Linked DNA regions of Drosophila melanogaster. The protein of the gene in region 3 interacts with the protein of the main gene of each other region in a biochemical or structural test. Each region holds a gene or a part of one and is shown on either strand. Other genes may lie near its edges.

The links.
Region 1: the proteins of DIP-iota (region 3) and dpr1 form a complex in vitro, tested with the Drosophila melanogaster proteins (one study listed by BioGRID).
Region 2: the proteins of DIP-iota (region 3) and dpr5 form a complex in vitro, tested with the Drosophila melanogaster proteins (one study listed by BioGRID).

Annotation. Positions count from the first base shown.
Region 1 is NT_033778.4:20,696,749-20,701,482, reverse strand, and holds the start of dpr1 (defective proboscis extension response 1), read right to left. Parts: upstream 3,001-4,734; 5' UTR 2,298-3,000; coding exon 2,213-2,297; intron 1-2,212.
Region 2 is NT_033777.3:11,498,417-11,505,983, forward strand, and holds dpr5 (defective proboscis extension response 5), read left to right. Parts: upstream 1-1,567; 5' UTR 1,568-1,936; coding exon 1,937-2,012; intron 2,013-2,653; exon of another isoform or gene 2,654-2,700; coding exon 2,701-2,829; intron 2,830-4,995; coding exon 4,996-5,364; intron 5,365-5,878; coding exon 5,879-6,136; intron 6,137-6,857; coding exon 6,858-7,036; 3' UTR 7,037-7,110; intron 7,111-7,172; 3' UTR 7,173-7,535; downstream 7,536-7,567.
Region 3 is NT_033779.5:6,616,609-6,623,680, reverse strand, and holds DIP-iota (Dpr-interacting protein iota), read left to right. Parts: upstream 1-1,980; 5' UTR 1,981-2,170; coding exon 2,171-2,255; intron 2,256-4,234; exon of another isoform or gene 4,235-4,601; intron 4,602-5,262; coding exon 5,263-5,506; intron 5,507-5,565; coding exon 5,566-5,921; intron 5,922-5,974; coding exon 5,975-6,256; intron 6,257-6,316; coding exon 6,317-6,388; intron 6,389-6,449; coding exon 6,450-6,541; 3' UTR 6,542-6,547; downstream 6,548-7,072. Other genes in the region: CG34345 (uncharacterized protein), read right to left, coding at 123-277, 338-558.

The sequences.
Region 1 (4,734 bases), on a different chromosome or scaffold from region 3:
CCAACAAACCAAATAACACGAGCTCGCGAAAGGACACGATCGAAAGTTTTATGAATTCATTATGGAAATATGCGCATGCATTTGTCGAGTTTTTCCCTGTCAATTAATTTGAGAAAAAGAATCAAACAGCCGGCCGAAAATTTGCCTCAAAAAATTCCAATATGCATATATATATAATAAAAATAAAAATAATCTGCATAATAATATGCAAATTTAACTATAAAATATTGGTACTTAAAAAGTGAATATGGCTAATTGTCAAAGTTGTCCATGCTAAAGTAGTGAAAAATTACATTTTAGATTTTGACTTGTTAGCCTTTTGCAATCAACTTAAACCATCTTTATGCCCAAAAACTTTGTATTAAATAATTTTAATTCCAATATATCATTACAAGTAATAATCATCACCTTTGTGAGAGAACAAATAAAACCCAGACCAAAGAAAATCCTTGGAAAATCGGTTGCCCAGTAATTCGATAGGAATCTTTTTTGATTGCTTGCCTTTTTGCAGGTTCTGCAATTGCCAAGATGAGTTATTTCGTCTGTTTGTCTGCGCTTAACCAACTTCAAGTAGCTTTTAGCCAAATGAAATGGCCAGACAGATGCCAATGGGCTAACAAGATAGGCGGGTAGAAGGCAAAGAAGCAGCCAAGTCAAAGGAAAGCAGGACGAAGGAAACAATTTGCGCAAAAGCGAATTGCATTCGGAAAGTATTTCATTTGAAAATTACAAAGCCCAGACGAACAACTGCCAAGTCAAATGATGGAAAATTGTATAAAAATGCAATTTACTGTTTTCAGAGATGACAAACGACGAGCTGAAAACGGAAAGTAGAAAATTGCTAGCCGCTGAAAGCTAAAAAGTGCAAACTTAAAAGCAGCAAACAGGCGGCTAAACCCCAAAACTGAAAAACCAAAAAGCCAAGCCAAGCCCAATGGCAATAGTTTCGTGTGTCAACTGCAACGTGCCACATGCAACGCAGCTGCTGCTGCTGCTGCGCAAGCGGCAACAACATCAAGTGCAACTGCAGCCAGAAGCATTTTGGCCATGACCAAGCTTCAACAGCATTTTCCAAGTGTCTGCCGCTCGTTAGTATGTGTTATTTTTCATATTTACTTTTTATTTTCCCACATTTCTATCTCTGTGGCGCGGCGCATCACAAGCGCGTGCTTCTCATTTGATGCATTGAAAGTGAGACTTGTGCCCCACTGTTGCAAACTATTATATAAAACCGTTTGCCCAGCCCACACGTTGCATGTGGCATTCGCACTCGCACTATGCGGCCATTCGCCATTCATCCTCCTGCCCTTCAGTTGGTCACTGGACCAACCTTGTGGGCTGCGAAACTAGGACTGCAAAACTCTGGACAGGAGTGGGTCACGAATGCACGGAAAATCAAATAGCCGGAGTACTTAGTTGCATATATGCTTTTCTGTAAATAATAGTTTTAAATGCAGATGATAGTAGACTAGCCTTTAAAACATTTTCTAACTACTTTTGTATGTGATTGTATCTATAAAACTAAATATTGTACAATAACAATGTGAGTATTTCAAGTTCTTACTTCAAACAAAGTTTAAGTAGAATATTCTAAAAGTGTTGTTAAATTCAATCCAAAATCCAATATTAAAACATTTTGTAATATTATATAATTTAACAGAAATATACTTTAGCTGACTTTGTTAACTCATCTTAACCCAAAAAAAAACATGAAGAGTTCGTATAAATACATATATAATATATGCATTAAAAACAAAAATATTCTAAAACCAAGATGCGGGGGGAGCACTCGTTTTTCCCTCTGTATAATGTTTCATTTTGTTGGTTCTCCACTTTTTGGGAGTCACACACAGATGGGCATTAAATGCTTCACCTTTTGACTTGCGCCAGGGACAAAAGGGAAAACTTTTGCCGACTCTGTAGCGGAATTAAAATTCTTAGCACAAAAATTAAAGAATTTTCAATTCGCATTCGCCCGCTTTCCAGGCCAGCGAAAATCGCTCGTTTTCCGGAAATTAGACGGGAAATCCTAGGCGACAAAGGAAAGTCTTTGGGTTACAACGGGCATGGTGGGCGTGATGGGCGTGGTGGGCATGGTGAGCATGGGGGCAATTAGGTGGGCCAAAGCGCGGCGCAAACAAATTAAATTTAATTAGAAATTAAATGAAAATAAATTGGATTATTTAATTAAAAAGCCCGACGCACAACTCACCTCTGAGCAAAACCATCGACAGCAGCAGCAGCCAGCCGATGAGCCAGTTGAGTAATCCGATATTGGCTCTGGATGGCAGGGACATTGTGCTGCTGTATCTGTATCTGTATCTGTGTATCTGCGGTTGTTATCCGCAAGTTTATTGTTATTACGCTTGTAGTTGGCACGCGATCCGGATCCGGCGAAACGGATTCCGGTGTGGTGGGGGTGCACCCGGGTGGTGGAACGTCACTGGTCAACTAACGATTCCGTCAAATTAGAGCCCGGCAAAACTCTCGGTTAAGCTCTGCCTGGGGAGCAATGAAAGTACTTTCTCCGCTTGGCCCTGTTTTTGGTTCGTTTTCACTGAGAGTTGACCTTTTTTTCTGGTTTTGTTTTTTTTTTCTTTTTTGTTAATCTGCTGCGAAATGAGCTTTACACAAGAACTTTTTTTTTTGTGGGCGTGCGAAAGGTTTTAACGGTCTACGAACACTTCAAACAGATCGTAAGCCCAAAAGCCGCTAAGCAGTAGGCTACACTTTGTGGGCGCCTCTAATTTATGGCACTGTGTTTCACTGTACTCAGTCGCTCGGTTCAGCTCATTACGGCGCCCCATGCATGTGGCTATTGCATTTTAATCGCCCCGTCATTAATTCGCCATTAACACGAAGGCCCGGGCACTCATTAGGCCCACTTTTTCGAAACCCTCAACACTGAGGAATATATCTGAACAGGATTTAACTGGGACTACAACCCGCGCACATAAATCAAGAAACGCGTGCTTCGCCTTCGAGTCACAGGATGGAACTGACTGGTAATCGGCGCTCGGGCACATGGCGAACGCCTCGACTTCGGCTAACTTCGGCACTCGGGCAAGTTCGCATATATATTGTTCACATGTAAGAGCAAAGAGAACTAAAACTGCAGAGCCGCTCTCTTCAGTCGGCTTATTGGAGCACGAAATTACCAAGCAACTTTGTTTATATCGAATATAATGTCTCAGGTAATAAAGCACTATTGCAACTGTAATAAAATGCTTATGAATAATTATATTACAGCCTTTACTAATTATTTAATTATTATTAAGACTCATAAAACCTTTTTTTTAACATATTAGTATTGTATTCCACTTTCTAGGGACTTAGTTTTACCATTCTGCTTTTAAAATGTAGGGAAATCATAAAAGGAAATAAATTGTTCTACTTCTTAATAAATGAAACTTGCTTCTTGTTTTTAATATAATATTTAATTATGCCCACTACCATTTAAGCTGCTAAACAATAAGAAAACCGCGCAAAAATATCCTGCCATAGGTCAGTTAGGGATACTCTTATACTGCCGCTCTTATACTCCGCAGGCCTAAAGAGAAAATGTCCAGTGTATGAAAACTGTTACAGTTCCACGTTCTCTGCAGTTCAATTGAGCGGCAAACAAAAAATGCATTTTTAATTAATGCTCCTAATTAGCACTTTTTAGTGTTTTTTTTTTTTTCTTTTTCTTATTTTTTGTTTATTTGCTGCGAATTTCCCTGAAGCGTTCTTAGTACTGGGACTCATCGCAGCCACCCAAAAGCACAAAGGAAAAGCACACACGAGAATTTCAATCAATTGCGAAACTTTTAATTACAAGTCAATTTAATTTTGTGCAAACAAACAGATCAAATGCACTCGATAACACCCCCCAAACCCCTCGCCTTGCTATTGGTCAAGCCGAAGCGTTTAAATCAATTAAATTAATTAGCGACTGTGAAATATATACATATATTTGTGCAGATTGGCCAGAACTTTTTCCGCCTGATTATTTTTAATTGATTGGCCCAGCTTTTGGCTTTCCCAGCTTACGACTTATGGCCCACTGCCCAAACATTGCCAGTATTATGCAATCAACTTGCGGACTTATAAATACCACCCAACCAATCAAGGTCGCCGCAATTAGCGGCCCCAAAAAGCGATTACTACCATTCGATAACCGAAGGAGGCGTTCAGTCGGGGGGGCGTGGCGATGGAGGCACGTGTCAATCGCAAGCCGCTTATAGATAAAGTAAAAGGCGAAAAAGCAAAGTCAGTAAACTTTTTAATTGAAACAATTTGTAAAATGTTGCCCAAATACCATCCCATTGTTCATCATAGACAGAAATAAAGAAATGGCCAACTTTCAGGACTCGCTTTTAATCCTCCATTTCGCGGAGCCTTGAGCGTTCCATTTTTACTAATTCCTGGCCTCCTGTGTGATTTCTTAATTGAATTACCCTCGTCTGATTTAACCGAACGGTAGCGGCGAAAACAGTTATTGATTTTCTATATTGACAAAAACAAGTTACTCCCCACAAAAAAAAAAAAAACAACAAATCTGGCTCGGTTTATGTTCTATCTTTGCTTCAGCGAAATCATTATTCCAATCAGAGACGCACGCCCGCCTCACAATTGGATTTGGATTCGAATTCGGATATGGATCCGGGTTCGGAATGGGGAAGTCTGAGTTACCAGCTAAGAAGGGTGGGCAAACAAATCAAAAATCTATTAAGACGTGCGATGCGGCACATT
Region 2 (7,567 bases), on a different chromosome or scaffold from region 3:
TAAAGTTCCTGTCCTCTTAGAACTGGTTGTAAAGTTTGTTCAACACCAACTTCTTTTAGCAATGTTTAAAAACCCATTCGAAACTTTATAGTCTCAAAAAAAAAAAAAAAGAGAATGTCAAAGCAGCTGAGTTATCACTGTTTATCAAAAGAAGACTACACGGAATGGCACTTGTCGTTCCACTCGAGAAGTTTCAGCGAAAGTGATCCTTTCATCGGACTGCTTTGAAATATTGAACTTAACATATTAAAGCATACTTTTCTGGGCAACTGGCAGCGTATCAAAAGTTATCGTGGCCCACAACCGCACTTTAAGCGCCTTACATTCTTGCAACAATTTCTGGTGACTTTCCCCCCTATATATAGTAAACATTTTTCATAATTCTGCACCCCTATTCACCGACAGCCAGCGATGAAAACAGAATTCACTTAGGGCTAAAAGAGATGGATGAGGGGCTGGCAAAATGTCGCCGCTTGTTAAATTTAAGGAATGTTTGGCTTGTTAGTGTAAAATAATATGAGCGACGTGGGTGGTCTATCCCAACTGAGGCGCCCGCTCGTCCTGTTGTCTATTTGATTCGCCAGGATATGCTAAAACAGGAGTAGGTGAGGAAGTCGAAGCACACGACGCGACGAAGAAAGAATTCCACTCAAATTGCATTTATTGGAGAAATATTTATAATAACTTGGAAATTCAATTTCCAAAGAAAATATGCTAAACGGATTTCAGGGGGGTACTGCAGTCGACGAGGGTGTGGAAAAGGCAGAAGGACTTTCCGAGGTGAGGATGCCAGTCTGCATGTGTGTGTGTGTGTATTCCAGTGGCTTGTCTCGTGTCAATGGCTCGTGTGTGTCGCCTGTCTGTGTGCGTGCAGAGAGATATGTTAGAAAATTAAAATCGACCATATGTTGCCTCATCGATTTTGATAAGTCGCCCAACGGCAGCACAGCAACATGAGCAACATGGGGCGCGGCATGAGTAGGGAGCAGCAGTAGCAGCAGCAACAGCACCATGGCCGCTTCATATCCGTTTCCGCTTTGACACAATGGGCGCACAATGCGTGGCACTCGAGTGCTGTGCGAGTGTGTGTGTGGTTGTCTGTTGCTGCCACTGCCACTTTCAATTGCAAAAAGCTGGCTTAAAAAGGCGCCTTGTCATGCATGAGTTTTCCGCCTTCTATTATTGATGTTGTTTTGTGTTTTTGTGTATCATTATTGCTGGTGCTGGTGCTCGCTGCTCCATTGTTGCTCCTTTCTTGTCGCCGGCCGATCTGCTGCTGTCTGCCGTTTGCGTGACACAAATCAAACGTACCCTACTAAATATTTCATAAGCACATTCAGCCACGCACCTCCAATGAACTTTAAGGACATGCAGGAGCAGGTCTTAACCCTCCGACAACCCACCCACGCCTCCTAATATGATACGATGGCTTACCATTCAATTTGGCTTCAATAAATGTTGCCGCAACATGTTGCTGTTGCGCCGGCGCAAGGACACTGCTTCTCCTGGAGATTTGCATATTGTTGGAGGATTCGCTGGAGCAGCTCCGTTCAGTTGTTTACCGCGCCTCAAGCCACACACACGCAACGAGCGCTGACAAACCGGAAACTCGGGGAACTGTGTCCCGTGACCCGTGAACTGCTACCCGTGACTCTGGGAAATCGCTAGCCGTGACTCGTGTTCGGCCTGCTCGGCTGGCTTTCGTATCTCGTATCTCGTATCTGGCGTCTCAATCGGAATCGGAATTGGAATTGGAATCGCGTCATTGGAGTGACTGATTTTGCGAATTGGTGGTGCTGGTGATGGTGCTGGAGTGTGTCGGAGTGTGTGGATGAGTGCTCCTTACGTAGCGTAAGGGCTGTTACGTAAGCCAAGGACCTGCTCGCTCCGCGGAAAAGGACACAAACGCAACGCGCTCGAATGCGTTACGTTGCGCATGAGATGGCGGCACGCAGTTCGCGCTACATTTACTTCGACCACGGCCACCGAATCTAGTCCGCTCATAGGAAAAGGTAGCTCCTCATTTGCGCTAGTCCCTCAGTTCCTCCTCCTTCTTTTTAGCTCCACGTCCCTGTCGAATATAATTAAGTGTATTATCAGAACGTGACCAGAGCGAAATTGCTGCCTGCGGGCGAGGTAAATGCTCCTGCTTTTCCTCATCCGTTGGCCAGAAGCAATTGAATGGACAGCTTAGTGTGTAATGAAGAAATTACCAAAAGCTCGAATCCAACCACCAGCCCCCCTCCACTTCCAGGATCCTTCTAACGACCCAACGGAAGGCACCCCCCATCCCCCTGCCAAACACTCGCAAGGACATCTTCATCTCGTTCTTGTCCTGTGGGCGTCATGGTGATTGAAAACTCGACCGCACTGCGGTCTTGTCATCAGTTTAAATGAATGTGCTGCGGTTTCCGGAGCACCGATAAGACGGAGCCCAGAGCCTAATCCCTTTCAGTTATTGTTTCTGCACAATTGTGGGCTAAAAAGTGGGCGGGGCTGGTGGCGAGTATCCTTCATCTTTAGCTTCATCTTTTGTGTGTTGCCTTTCGAGTCGATTTGAGTCGCTTCGGTTCGGTTCGAGTTGAATTGAGTAGAGTCGAGTTCTCCGCGATTGCCATCATTTATTTTAATTACTTTTCTGTTGTCGCCCTACCCACTTTGCTCCTGCTCTTCGCTGGTGGTCCTTCGTCCTGGCTGCAGTTATAAGTAATTCGAGAGCCCCACAAATTGCGCATGAAATGTTGGTGGAATACTTTATGGCGCTGCTCGTGATCATGGGATTAACCGCTCCAGTCGACAAGCAGAGCCGGCGCAGCAGCCAATACTTCGGTGAGTACGGATTTAAATCTAATCAGACAACACTCAAAGGGTTAAGCCAACCGGGGACTGGGCAGTCGTATCAGAAATGGCATAATAAATGAGAATCGCAGAGCGAATGGTATTGGGAATCGGAATCGGAAGTGGGGAATCGGGAAGCGCGAAGCAATCTAATTAGATTGAGGGATATGGCGGGGATTACAAGGGGTCACTGATCTCGCAGTTGGGGCAGAGGACACACTTTAAATACTCAACTGCTTAAGCGGTTAATGAAATTAAAAAACTAAATTGCTAATACCTTAATTAAAATTACTTTTAGATAGATTAAAGGAGTTAAAGTTAAAGGAGTTCAGATTAAAGGAGTTAAACGAGCACAACGATTATGACTTGAATAAAAGAAATTAACTCTTTTTTTCGCCATATTTGATTTATATTTGATTTATAATTTTTTGTGCAACATAAGCTTAAACGTAAAAAGCATGTTTTATTAAATTTCATACAATTAGTACTTTGTGAATTTGTATTTCCATTTTTTCATATTTCTCAAATCCCTCAACACATATTTGCCTATTAAATTACACTTATGGAAAGTAACTTTTCCGGTTAGTTATTTTTTCACACAGATGTTTTTTTTTTTTTAAGTTGCATACATGGTTTATTCATTTAAATCCTGCAAACTTTTAATGTGGTTTAATGTGGTTCAACACAAAGTTAAATTCCGCTTCGCTTTTTGCAACGGAAGGGAGCAAGCTGCCTAATGGATAACTGATCTCTAAAAGGGGATCCGAATTAGGTAATCTGCACTCGCAGCTGTCAGGAATTGTTTATGATCCCATCTATTTCGCATCTCTCTGCTGCGAGTGAATTTGATGCGGGACCCAGGAGCAGCTGCAATTGCTCATTTGTAATTTATGGCACCTGAACTCAGTTTAGGGCCCGCTTGGGGAACTGCAGCTAGGGATGATGGGGATATGGTGATGAAGGAAGAGCCGGAGGTTGTGGATGTGGATGTTGAGGTCCTGCAGAAGCGTTAGCCATGGCCACTGAAGCTGCGGTTGCGGTTCGACCCGGCAATTTTCCAACTTACCACCCCGCACTTTGTATGTAAATACGCAACTTTTATTAAAAAATTTTATGTTGTTACATATTTCCTGCCGTTGTGCGGGAACGTGTGTGCGAGGGAGTTTTTTTTTTTTATTTTGTGGCCAGCATAAAAAGCAATTTCAGTTCAAGTGCCTTGGCCTGGCCAAAAGCAAAAGCAAAAGCAACAGCCATAGCGAAAGCTAAAGCATCGTCATAGTCATCGGCTGCGGATCAACAGTTTCAATTAAGTGTTAAACGTCATTTTATTGCCTGATATTTGATAGCTAAATTTGCTCAACCACACTCGCACACAATATGGATCCTGGCCTATAAATCAATATGTGTTTATCCACTCCACATCCACATATCCACATAACCAATCGAGTAGTACCCAGTCCCTTCTCCTTCACATCCCACGCACAGCTGTATTTGTGTTTGTATTTGTTTAGGCACTCATGGATTATTAGCGCATTAGTTGGCTAATACATCGCCATTTGGGCGGTGGAGCTGCAGCAACAATAGCGCCAATAGCACCACCACCCACATAAATCACTTGGCCGCCCAGCGATGGATCATAAACGCGGGAATGGCTCCAAAGGGGTGTAGGCTTAAGCTCCGGCATAAATTAAGCACAAATACTCGTTAATCAAATGAATGCTGATTGCCAGCTGAGGCATCCCCGCCAGCTGATTGAGCCAACCAATCGACCATCCATCTGTCCGTTTGTCCGTCCGTCTGTCTGTCCGTCTGCATATCTATCTATTCATCTATCTATCTGCCAGTCTAACTGTCTATCTATCCGACGCTTCCTGTGTTCATCTGCCTGCCTGCCTCCTGGGCTCAGGTCCTGAAATGCACTTGAATACGTTTAGATTGACGTTCAGATACAACTGGTGGAATGAACTACCCAGGGAATATTTAATGGGCAGCTTGAATATCTAGGCCCTTTATGTACTAACAATATATATTGGCATAGATTCTGTTTCCGCGGGGATAAATTTGACGTTTAGAGGGTTATTCATATCCTTGGGTTCTTAAAACTTATTCAACTTATTCAACCTTTTAAATAATTATAATCTGTTTACTGTTTTACAGGCCATCTGGCCGCCGCCGAGGAATTGTCCAACTTGATACCAGATAATTACGATGCCATCGATCCCGTGTTTGACAACACAACAGATCGGGAGGTTATTGCAGCTTTGGGCACCACCGCCCGTCTCCACTGCCGCGTTCGCCACCTGGGCGACAGGGCGGTGTCCTGGATACGACAACGGGATCTCCACATCCTGACCATCGGCATCATGACCTACACGAACGATCAGCGCTTTCTGGCGCGGCACATCGACAACTCCGACGAGTGGGTGCTCAAGATCGTTTCGGTGCAGCAGAGAGATGCGGGCGTCTACGAGTGCCAGGTGTCCACGGAGCCCAAGATCAGTCTGGCCTACAAGCTGGTCGTCGTGAGTAAGTATCTTTCACTAAGAAGAGCTATGAACAAGACACTTGTCACTTTTGAGCAAATGAATATATCCAAAACTATATTTACTGATAATATCCTTGTGTTCATAACGAATCGAAGGGCTTCAAATAATTCTCTGTTGGTATGTACATACCACTAAACATTCCAAATCCATTTGAATCCGCTTAAGTTTGTTCCGAACCCTTTCATGACCCATCATAATTATTCAATCGAAATTCAGCCCCAAGTTCCTGTTTTATTACTCCCATTGAATCTCAATCGATTGGCGGTCTTGTAAGACGTTGCTTACATCTCCGTTTAGACAGCAGCGCAAGGGCGCGAAGGGCTGGGATTACTTTGACAAATTAGTTTATCAAACACCCCAGTACATCACACGACAAACTAGGATGGGGCATGGGAATAGGGATTGAGAAGTTGAGGGGTTGAGGGCTATGGATCCACCCAATAGGCAACTTGTTGACATACCCATTAATCGAAAACGACGCCGCTCTTTGACAGCCTCCAAGGCTCAGATCCTGGCCAACCGCGAGCTGTTCATCCAGAGTGGCAGCGACATCAATCTGACGTGCATCGCACCCCAGGCTCCAGGACCCTACACGCACATGCTGTGGCACAAGGACACGGAGCTGGTAAGCGACTCGGCGCGGGGTGGCATCCGCGTAGAGTCCGAGCAGCAGATGAAGACCAGCAACCTGGTGATATCGCGAGTCCAGCACACGGACTCGGGCAACTACACCTGCTCCGCGGACAACTCGAGTGAGTCCTTTAGAAATGCATGAACTGTTAGATTAAGGACACTAGGTGAATACATATGCGATTAAGGTGTGTGTGTCGAAAATTTAATTTAAATCCAATTAGTCCAAGATGGAACTGACAGTTTTACAACGAAAGTTCGATTTCATTAAATACTTAATTACATTTGAAACACGCCACCAACTGACTCGTATAAAATATTTACACATGCACATGACTATCGAAAAGTAGTTGCACATATAAACATCGTAAATTAACCATCAAATACTGAAAATCAAATTAATTCAATTGCTTACTTATTTATGGGTGTAGTATACATTGTGATCAGTTACAATGTAAAATATACAGATTTCACTTTATCCATAGCTACAAGGCATTAAGTTAATGGTGGCTTATTGCATAAAATAATATTCTATAATTGAGTTTACATATTGAATGCATATAAACTCAATTATGAAATTTTATTCGAAAATAGCAGTGCACATTTATTATTGTTATTTATTCAAGGAGATACAGTTTTTAAAAAATAACTAATGTTATTACAATAGCTAATAATACTCTTGCTAAAGCAGCCATACATTATACATTCAAATAATTGTTTTCACTGCTTTTCGTACAGAGTATGCCAGCTTTAATATTTAAATTCAGCCCTTTAATAAGTAACGACCTAAAATATTTATTTTACAATTTTCTAACCCACCCTTTTGCCACCTTTTCCCAACAGATTCTGACAGCGTCTTTGTGCATATCATTAAAAGTGAGCAGCACGCGGCCATGCAGCACGAGCTGGGCTCGAGGCTGCTCCTGCCCCCTCTGCCCCTGTTGCTCCTGGCGGTCCTGCTGGTCGTCCTGCTGGGCCCCACCTCCAGCCTCCAGATTCGCACCCCGCTCTCAACCCGCTAAGCCGAGCCAAAGACGAGCGGCAACTTATGTTCGATGTCTGGAGCCATGGGAGCCCCGTTATTCCTGGTGGCCGGGTAAGTCGGTGATTTTTAATGCCACCATCAGCTCAGGAGTCGTAGTCATCATCTCGTTACAGGCCACGCCTCCACGTCACAGTAACCGCCCACATTGGAGGAGCCCGGTAGAAATTGCTGGATGCGGAGGTTAACGACGTCGATGTCGCGTTGTCTTGTAAATATGTAAATTGAGTTTTTGTTTACGTTTGTGTTTGTGTTTTGTGGCTCAGTCTCTAAGTATTTTTATACGTAATTAAGTAAATAGGTGGAGAGAGCATATGTGCTGGCTAGGCTATATATAGTCAATCTTGGCTATGTGGCAAATGGGACATATACATTTTGTTCACACACGATCGCATACCTAGAGATACTAAAAACGAGCAATCGAATCCGAATCGAATCGAATCCGTAACGAATGTAAATAAATGTTTAATCTTAATAATAGATAGACGAGATCTAGATTAATTATGATAAA
Region 3 (7,072 bases):
CTGTAAAATATTTAAATAAACCAATAGCCTGTTGTTTCATATTTAAGTGATAAAATACAAAAATGTACTTTTAGCTTCCCTTGAAATTGAGAAAACGTGCAAACATTGTATATAATCCACACCTTTTATATTTCCTTGATCCTTTAAGTAAGCAATCAACTTGGGCCAATCTTGATGAGCCCGCCTTAAAAGTCCAAAGGAATTTAGGGGATTGGACACATATTTATATCGATCCACCTTGTGATCCAAATAATTCGGAGTTAAAGAATTAATAAAACTATGTGAAAGTTAAAGTGTAATTCTAGTTTTAAGAGAGGAATTAAAATATATATCATACATTCTGAGAGTTTTGATTTTTTGTTGCAGAAAGCTAACATAGTTGTTTAAATGCTCCATATAGGAATTCTCAATCTCGCGAAGTTCAGACAGGGCTCGAATGGAATTTGAGTATATTACTTCCTGTACTACATCATTTTCGGCTTTCTTTGCTTTGCAAACTGTGAATAGGAATAATAAAATCCAGTTCAGCAGAATATAATGAAATGATCTTAGCAACATTCTGCTGCGAAAACTATATTTTTTCATTTCCTAACGAAGATACTACATTTTAAATTGATTTATATCGCTTATTCGTCAGGCCTATTTTAAATGCTGCGGTGATTGATACACTTAAGTTACACATATACACTGTTTGTATATTTAGCTTAATATAATTTAGTATTTCCCTAACAAGCCTCATAGAACATATTTCATGAGTGATTCTTGTTTCAAAAAATAGTTGTAAATTCGCTTACTTCTTTTAACAGCGCTACACAACACTATAACTTTTAGCAAAGTTATACACCGCCATAATTTTATTGTTAGGTAACATCGGAGTTGTAAACCATTTCTGTTTGCTTTTTCGAAATTTGATTTCGAGTTTCTACACAGTTAGCCAAGACACATACTTTTCATGTGTAAGTAAAAGTAAGGAAAGTTTATTTGAAAGGCTTTATTATACATCAAGCAGAAACAATTTGAAATTATCGGCAGTTTTTTAAATAAATAATTTTTAAATAATGAAAAAGTATGTTAAATCCACTAAACTAACAATTCTTGAATTTAAGTCTATTTTAAAAATATACATAACTAGTCAAGGCAATCTAATGTACGTATTGCCATTCAGATACTCTAAAACGTAAGTTTATTTTGCTGACTAATCAAATTATGAAACAAAGGTAGGATTTATCAATCACTTAGACTTCAAGATTGCATAAAAACACACTCAAATTTTAGCAAAATATTATTTAATTAAGACAGAGGCTCTGACTCAGAGGCCAGAATGAAGAAACGAAGAGAAACTTGCATGGGCCAGCAAAAGATGTGCCCCTAGGGAAAACAACAATCAAGCAAATTCCACGTGCTTATTATGATTATTGTTATCGCTATTGAAAAGCGCTAATTGTGCGCAAATAGCGGTGCGAACTTAATGCCAACTTACCGAGAAGCTCACACATGCAAACCAAGCCAGTTGGAAGTGCAAGCATCGCAGAAAAGCAGAGGAGCAGCAGCTGGAATCCGGAGGGATATGGGGGATACGGGTGAAAGTTGGGCAGAAGATGCGCGGCATTTCGGGGTTAATTAGAATGGTATTGGAGTTGGCCTTTATTCTCCGCCGCCCACAAAAAAATCACCAATAATGTGTCACTTTCCCCCGGCAACATGTCGTATACTTCATATCGTCACGTGCATATGAAAATATTACGTCGGGCGGTTTATGAATGAAACATTTACTATTGCACAGCACCGTCTTTCGGCTGCCGGGCACCTTGACTACTACTGGGCTACAACCATACCCACTAGACACACTAGAACCACCCAACCACCACCCACTACCTTCGCAAGGCCGCAGGACACATGCGCAACGCCAGTGCCGCATTTGAATTTTGAATATGAGTTTTGACACTTGATTATCAGTTCGCGACCAGTTGTACGGGTGTGCGGACGTTTGGCCACGGCAATCGGCGGAAAAAACTTCATCCGCAGAAGCGGAAAAAATACATTTGCGCTGTTGCGGCGGAAGTTGAACTTCGGCCATTTGGGCAGTGAAAGTGGCAGAGTTAAAAATTAAAGTGGGAAATCAGCAAATATTCAAAAGTTTCGCACCTTGATTGCGGTTGAGTTTTCGGCTATGGGAAGGCGATTGCCCAGCTTTTGGCTGCTGCTCCTGCAGAGCGTGTGTTTCAGCCAGGCCAGCTTTTCGGAGCTAAACAATTGTAAGTGGATCGAGGATGTGATTAACTAAAGGATAAATAAATCTGATTGCTAATAATGAAATTAGTCAGAAATATAAGATTTACTTTGAATGAAATGCATAACCCATTAAATATTAAATTAAACATTTTAAGGATAGTTTTTCTCGATTAATATGACGTTTTTTGAATGTTGTACAATTAAAAAGTATCCTGTTTACAAGCTGAACTTTTGTAACCCGCCAACACGAAATGATGAACCCAAAAGTGTACAGCTAATTGACTGCAAACTATCTAAAGCCGGAGTGGTAGCGTATAAAATGGAAGGTAGCTGGTAATCGGAAGTCCAACGAGTCCATAAGTGAATAAACTGTGGCCAACATATTCCCCAGACGGGACAGACAGGATGGCGGTGATAGGGAAAGGGAGCGGGCAGAGGGGTTTCCGGTGGAGAGCTGCGAAAGAGTAACGAGGGGTAACTTCCGCTGGGGAAAATGTGCGCCGAATAAAAAAAACAAAACAAATTTTCCTTGACTTTGGCGAGCCAAATGCGATAAATATATCAAAATTCGACAAAATTCGCATTTAAATCAATGTGCCAGATGCAAAGTAAACATAAATATTGGCAGGCTAGCCGCAGCGTGCGATAAGAAAGTGAGAAGTGGCTCAAAGGAGTGATGATGCACCGCACCGCACGATGTTCCGTGCCAACCAACCAACTCCCACCACCCACCACCCACCGCACAGCGGGCAGGCAGACAGACAGTCGCGGAAAGGCGACGTTTTCCCACTTCCTATTGCACTCTGCGATATTTTCGTTTCATTTTTTTTTCTATTCCTGGCCGGCGGTTTCTGCCGCTGAAGTGCCGCGTTTTTCGGTTGGCGGTTGCGGGTGTGGAACTGCCACTGCAGTGGGTTATTTCGCAGTTTTTACTTAACTTTTTGGCAGACATTGCGTGCTGATTGTGATTGTGATTCCTTTCGCCGGCAGACAGCTGGAGTGTCTAACAGGAGACAGGACATTCACTTTCCGTTTCAAGTTCAAGTGGCGTGGGGAAAGGACACGGCCGGATTTGCAGCGACTTCGCGGGGAAAATGCGGCTTAAGTCCTGGCCGAGCGATTCAAGCGATTCCAGCGATACAAGTCGTGCAAGAAAACAGGAAAATATATTTAACAACTCATAGTCAATTTCCCCTTATAAAATGTGGCAACAACAAAGGCGGTGCGGTGGCGAAAAAGTTAAATGCTAAATTACGCTACCTTGCAGACATAAATAAAAGAAGAAAAGTTTAACTATATGAACACACATGTATGAGTACACTCAGAATAATTTCAAAAGTAGAAATCAAAAGTAAGATATTATACATAATTACTTACCTTGTAGTTTTGTTAGCGTTTTATGTTCATTGCTCCTTTATGCATAAAAAATCTAATCAAAATCTGTTGATGCAAATATATTATTGAAATTTTTGTTTTTTTTATATTAGTTCTTTAGCTTATTATACTTTTATTTCCAGTGCAAAGTACGTTTGTGTTTTATGGCTTAAAAAGTCTCGCTCGTCCCTTTCTTCGGAATGTTTCAATATGCAAACATGCAATAACCAAATTGCAATACCAACAAAAACAGAAACCATATCAACTGAAGGCAGTCAAACAATGGCGCCTCGTTCCCCACACTCAGAGCAACTGAAGGCGGAGCCTTCGGACTCGGACTCCAAAAAAAAAGCGCCCAACTTGCGGCCAGACCCAAACATAATCGCAAATTATAGGCTCTATGGCATGGCATCCGTAGGCTACCCAATTTGATGCTAGTTTGGTGGATACCCCCCCCACACAACGCAATCAATTCGTGGTGGATGGGGGGGGTATACATAAAGGTGTAGCACAGCTTTTTACAATTTTCCAGGTACCAGCACCTGCTGCCCCCCAACCAACACACACACACATACCGCGCTCTATTAGATTTTTGCATTTTTTCGGGTTATTATTTGGTCATAATTGTAATTTAGGCGTTTGCTGGAACAGGAACAGTAGCTGGAACTGGATTCCTCGTCTCCTGGCCACAGAGTCGTGCTACTTGTTAGGCATGTGATGTGATTTCTTCCATTACTCCTGCCTCCAGCCCATTGTTGTGTTTGCGATGGTGTGGGTGGGTTCGGTTTGCGGTTGGAACTCTGGTGGTTAGATTGGCTGACGGCAACTGTCGAAGTCCTGCGGTCGGGCACCTTGACTCAAAATTATTGCGATGGGACTCGAGTTGGCCGAAGCAACAACACGCCGGAAAGCAGTAGTTTGAGTTCATAGTGTGTGAACCCAACGTGTTTATGCTATTATTTACGATAAAATCAAAACATAACTATCCCGCTGTTCAATATTATGTATGTACAATACATGAGGTACTATTTTTGAGTAAAAGTGCTCAGAAAAGAATCCATAACCAAATCATAGGTTTAAGATGATGTTCAAAACTATTGTTTCTATATATATATAATATAATCAACATATTTTACTGATTCAAAAATAGCTTCGTTTTGCTAGTTTTACAATTTGTTAGTGTTGAAGCTACTCTATTTTGCCAGAATGTAGCTGACATCTATAATTTATCTAATTATTGGATTATCTGCCGCTGTCTCGGCCTAATGTTAACCTCAAGAAATTTATGGCCGTTAAACAATTTTAAATATCGTTGACCATTTCGGCGGGCCATCTGGCAACAAACTTGGCCTAGTCTGCGTTGACATTCTGCAGAGACACGCAAAAATGTGCGAGGATAAGAAATGAAATAATTATCCTGATAATTGTGGATTAGAAAAGCTGCACATAAAAAAAGGTTATTTTTTAATTGAATTAAATGTTTGGCGTCTGAGTTCCATTAAAATACAGCAAATGCCAGTGCCTCACATTTGCAAGCCCCATAAACCACCCCAAAAGCCACCCAGCAGTTGTATATCGTCGCCCCATTTAGCGCCCTAATGATGAAAGCCATAAATGCCAAACCATTGGGCTTGGTGCCACCATCTTCCTTTGCAGCGGATCCCAAGTTCAGCGGTCCAATCAACAACTCAACAGTTCCCGTGGGACGGGATGCCCTACTCACGTGTGTTGTCCACGACCTGGTTAGCTTCAAGGTGGCCTGGCTGCGAGTGGACACGCAGACGATACTGAGCATCCAGAACCACGTCATCACCAAGAACCATCGCATCTCCATCTCCCACACGGAGCATCGGATCTGGCAGCTAAAAATACGCGATGTTCAGGAATCGGATCGCGGATGGTGAGTGAAAGTATCTATCAGATAGATGGACCATATTCTTCTACTAGCGTTTACCGTAGGTACATGTGCCAAATCAACACGGATCCCATGAAGAGCCAAATGGGCTACCTGGATGTGGTGGTGCCGCCAGACATTGTAGACTATCAAACCAGTCAGGATGTGGTTCGTTCCACGGGACAGAACGTAACACTCACTTGCAGTGCAACGGGAGTGCCCATGCCCACCATCACCTGGCGTCGCGAGGAAGCGACTCCGATACTGATTTCAGACGACGGCGATCGGGAAGTGTTCAGCGTGGAGGGTCAGAATCTCACCCTGTGGCAGGTGCAGCGCTCCCACATGGGCGCCTATCTCTGCATCGCCTCCAACGGAGTGCCACCCACAGTGAGCAAACGCGTCATGCTGGTGGTGAATTGTATGTGTGAACAAAGAGTTGGATTCAATATATAATACTGAGTTATCTTTCAGTTGCGCCCACGATCTGGACACGCTACGATACCATCTACGTGGGCCTGGGCCAGAAGCTGACGCTGGAGTGCATCACAGAATCGCAGCCGGCATCGGTGAACTTCTGGCTGAGGGATTCGCAATTGCTGCAAGGAGGTTCCTACGAGTCGGTCTCAGTGGACCACGTCTTCCGGATCGTGATGCGGATCACCCTGCGTCCAATAACGAAAAGAGATTTCGGAGAGTACATATGCAGGGCAAAGAATGCGATGGGTCAGACAGATCGGATTATAACCGTGCACCGTAAGTGAGATTATATTTCGGTTACTTAATCCCTTAGATGTAACAAATGTTGACCACCAGATAAGGCCAAGAAGCATGGACAGCACTCGCATCAAACTTCCTCCCGCGAAAGTCAGTTCATTGTCATCGAAGGTTTGTTTGTTCTACAATAAATAGAGTCGCGATAAAGATAACTAGCTAAATCTTATTGCAGAATACATCGCAAATATGTCTGATAAGAGCTGCAGTTTCCAACCGCTTTGGATAATGTTTCTATGTTTCGTCAATAAAGTGTCACTTTTGTGAGCAATCAAACAATGTGTGCTTTGTCTTTTGGCCACGTCTAATGAGTGACTTCATCTTTATATTGCCTAATTCACAATGTTATATTAATAATAATTTTGGTGACAATTGTTCGATTCAAGGGTAAAAGTAACGCACGTGTGAGCAAACTATTAAAAAAAAATCAATTAATTTGATTTTGATTCTGATCTTTTGTTTTGATTTTTACGTTCGGTTGACTGAATAAAATTGCTTTAGGACAACATTTACAATAATTTTTTTCTAAATAGTCTACAATTCGTTTAAGTTATTTACAATTGGATTCCTTAGTCAGATCAATTGAATATATCGATAGAATTCGATCCGCAACTTTACGCTTAACTTAGAGGAAATCGAACTAAGGAGACGTGTTCAACAGGTGTGTTAATATTTAAACATTAATATTTAGCTACTTCCCATCGGTTGCATCTGTTCCGTTTCTTTCGCAATAAATTAGTGAGTTAAGAATTAGATCTAGCTATGAGCGTGTCGAGGTAGGCTTAACAGTTTGTTAGT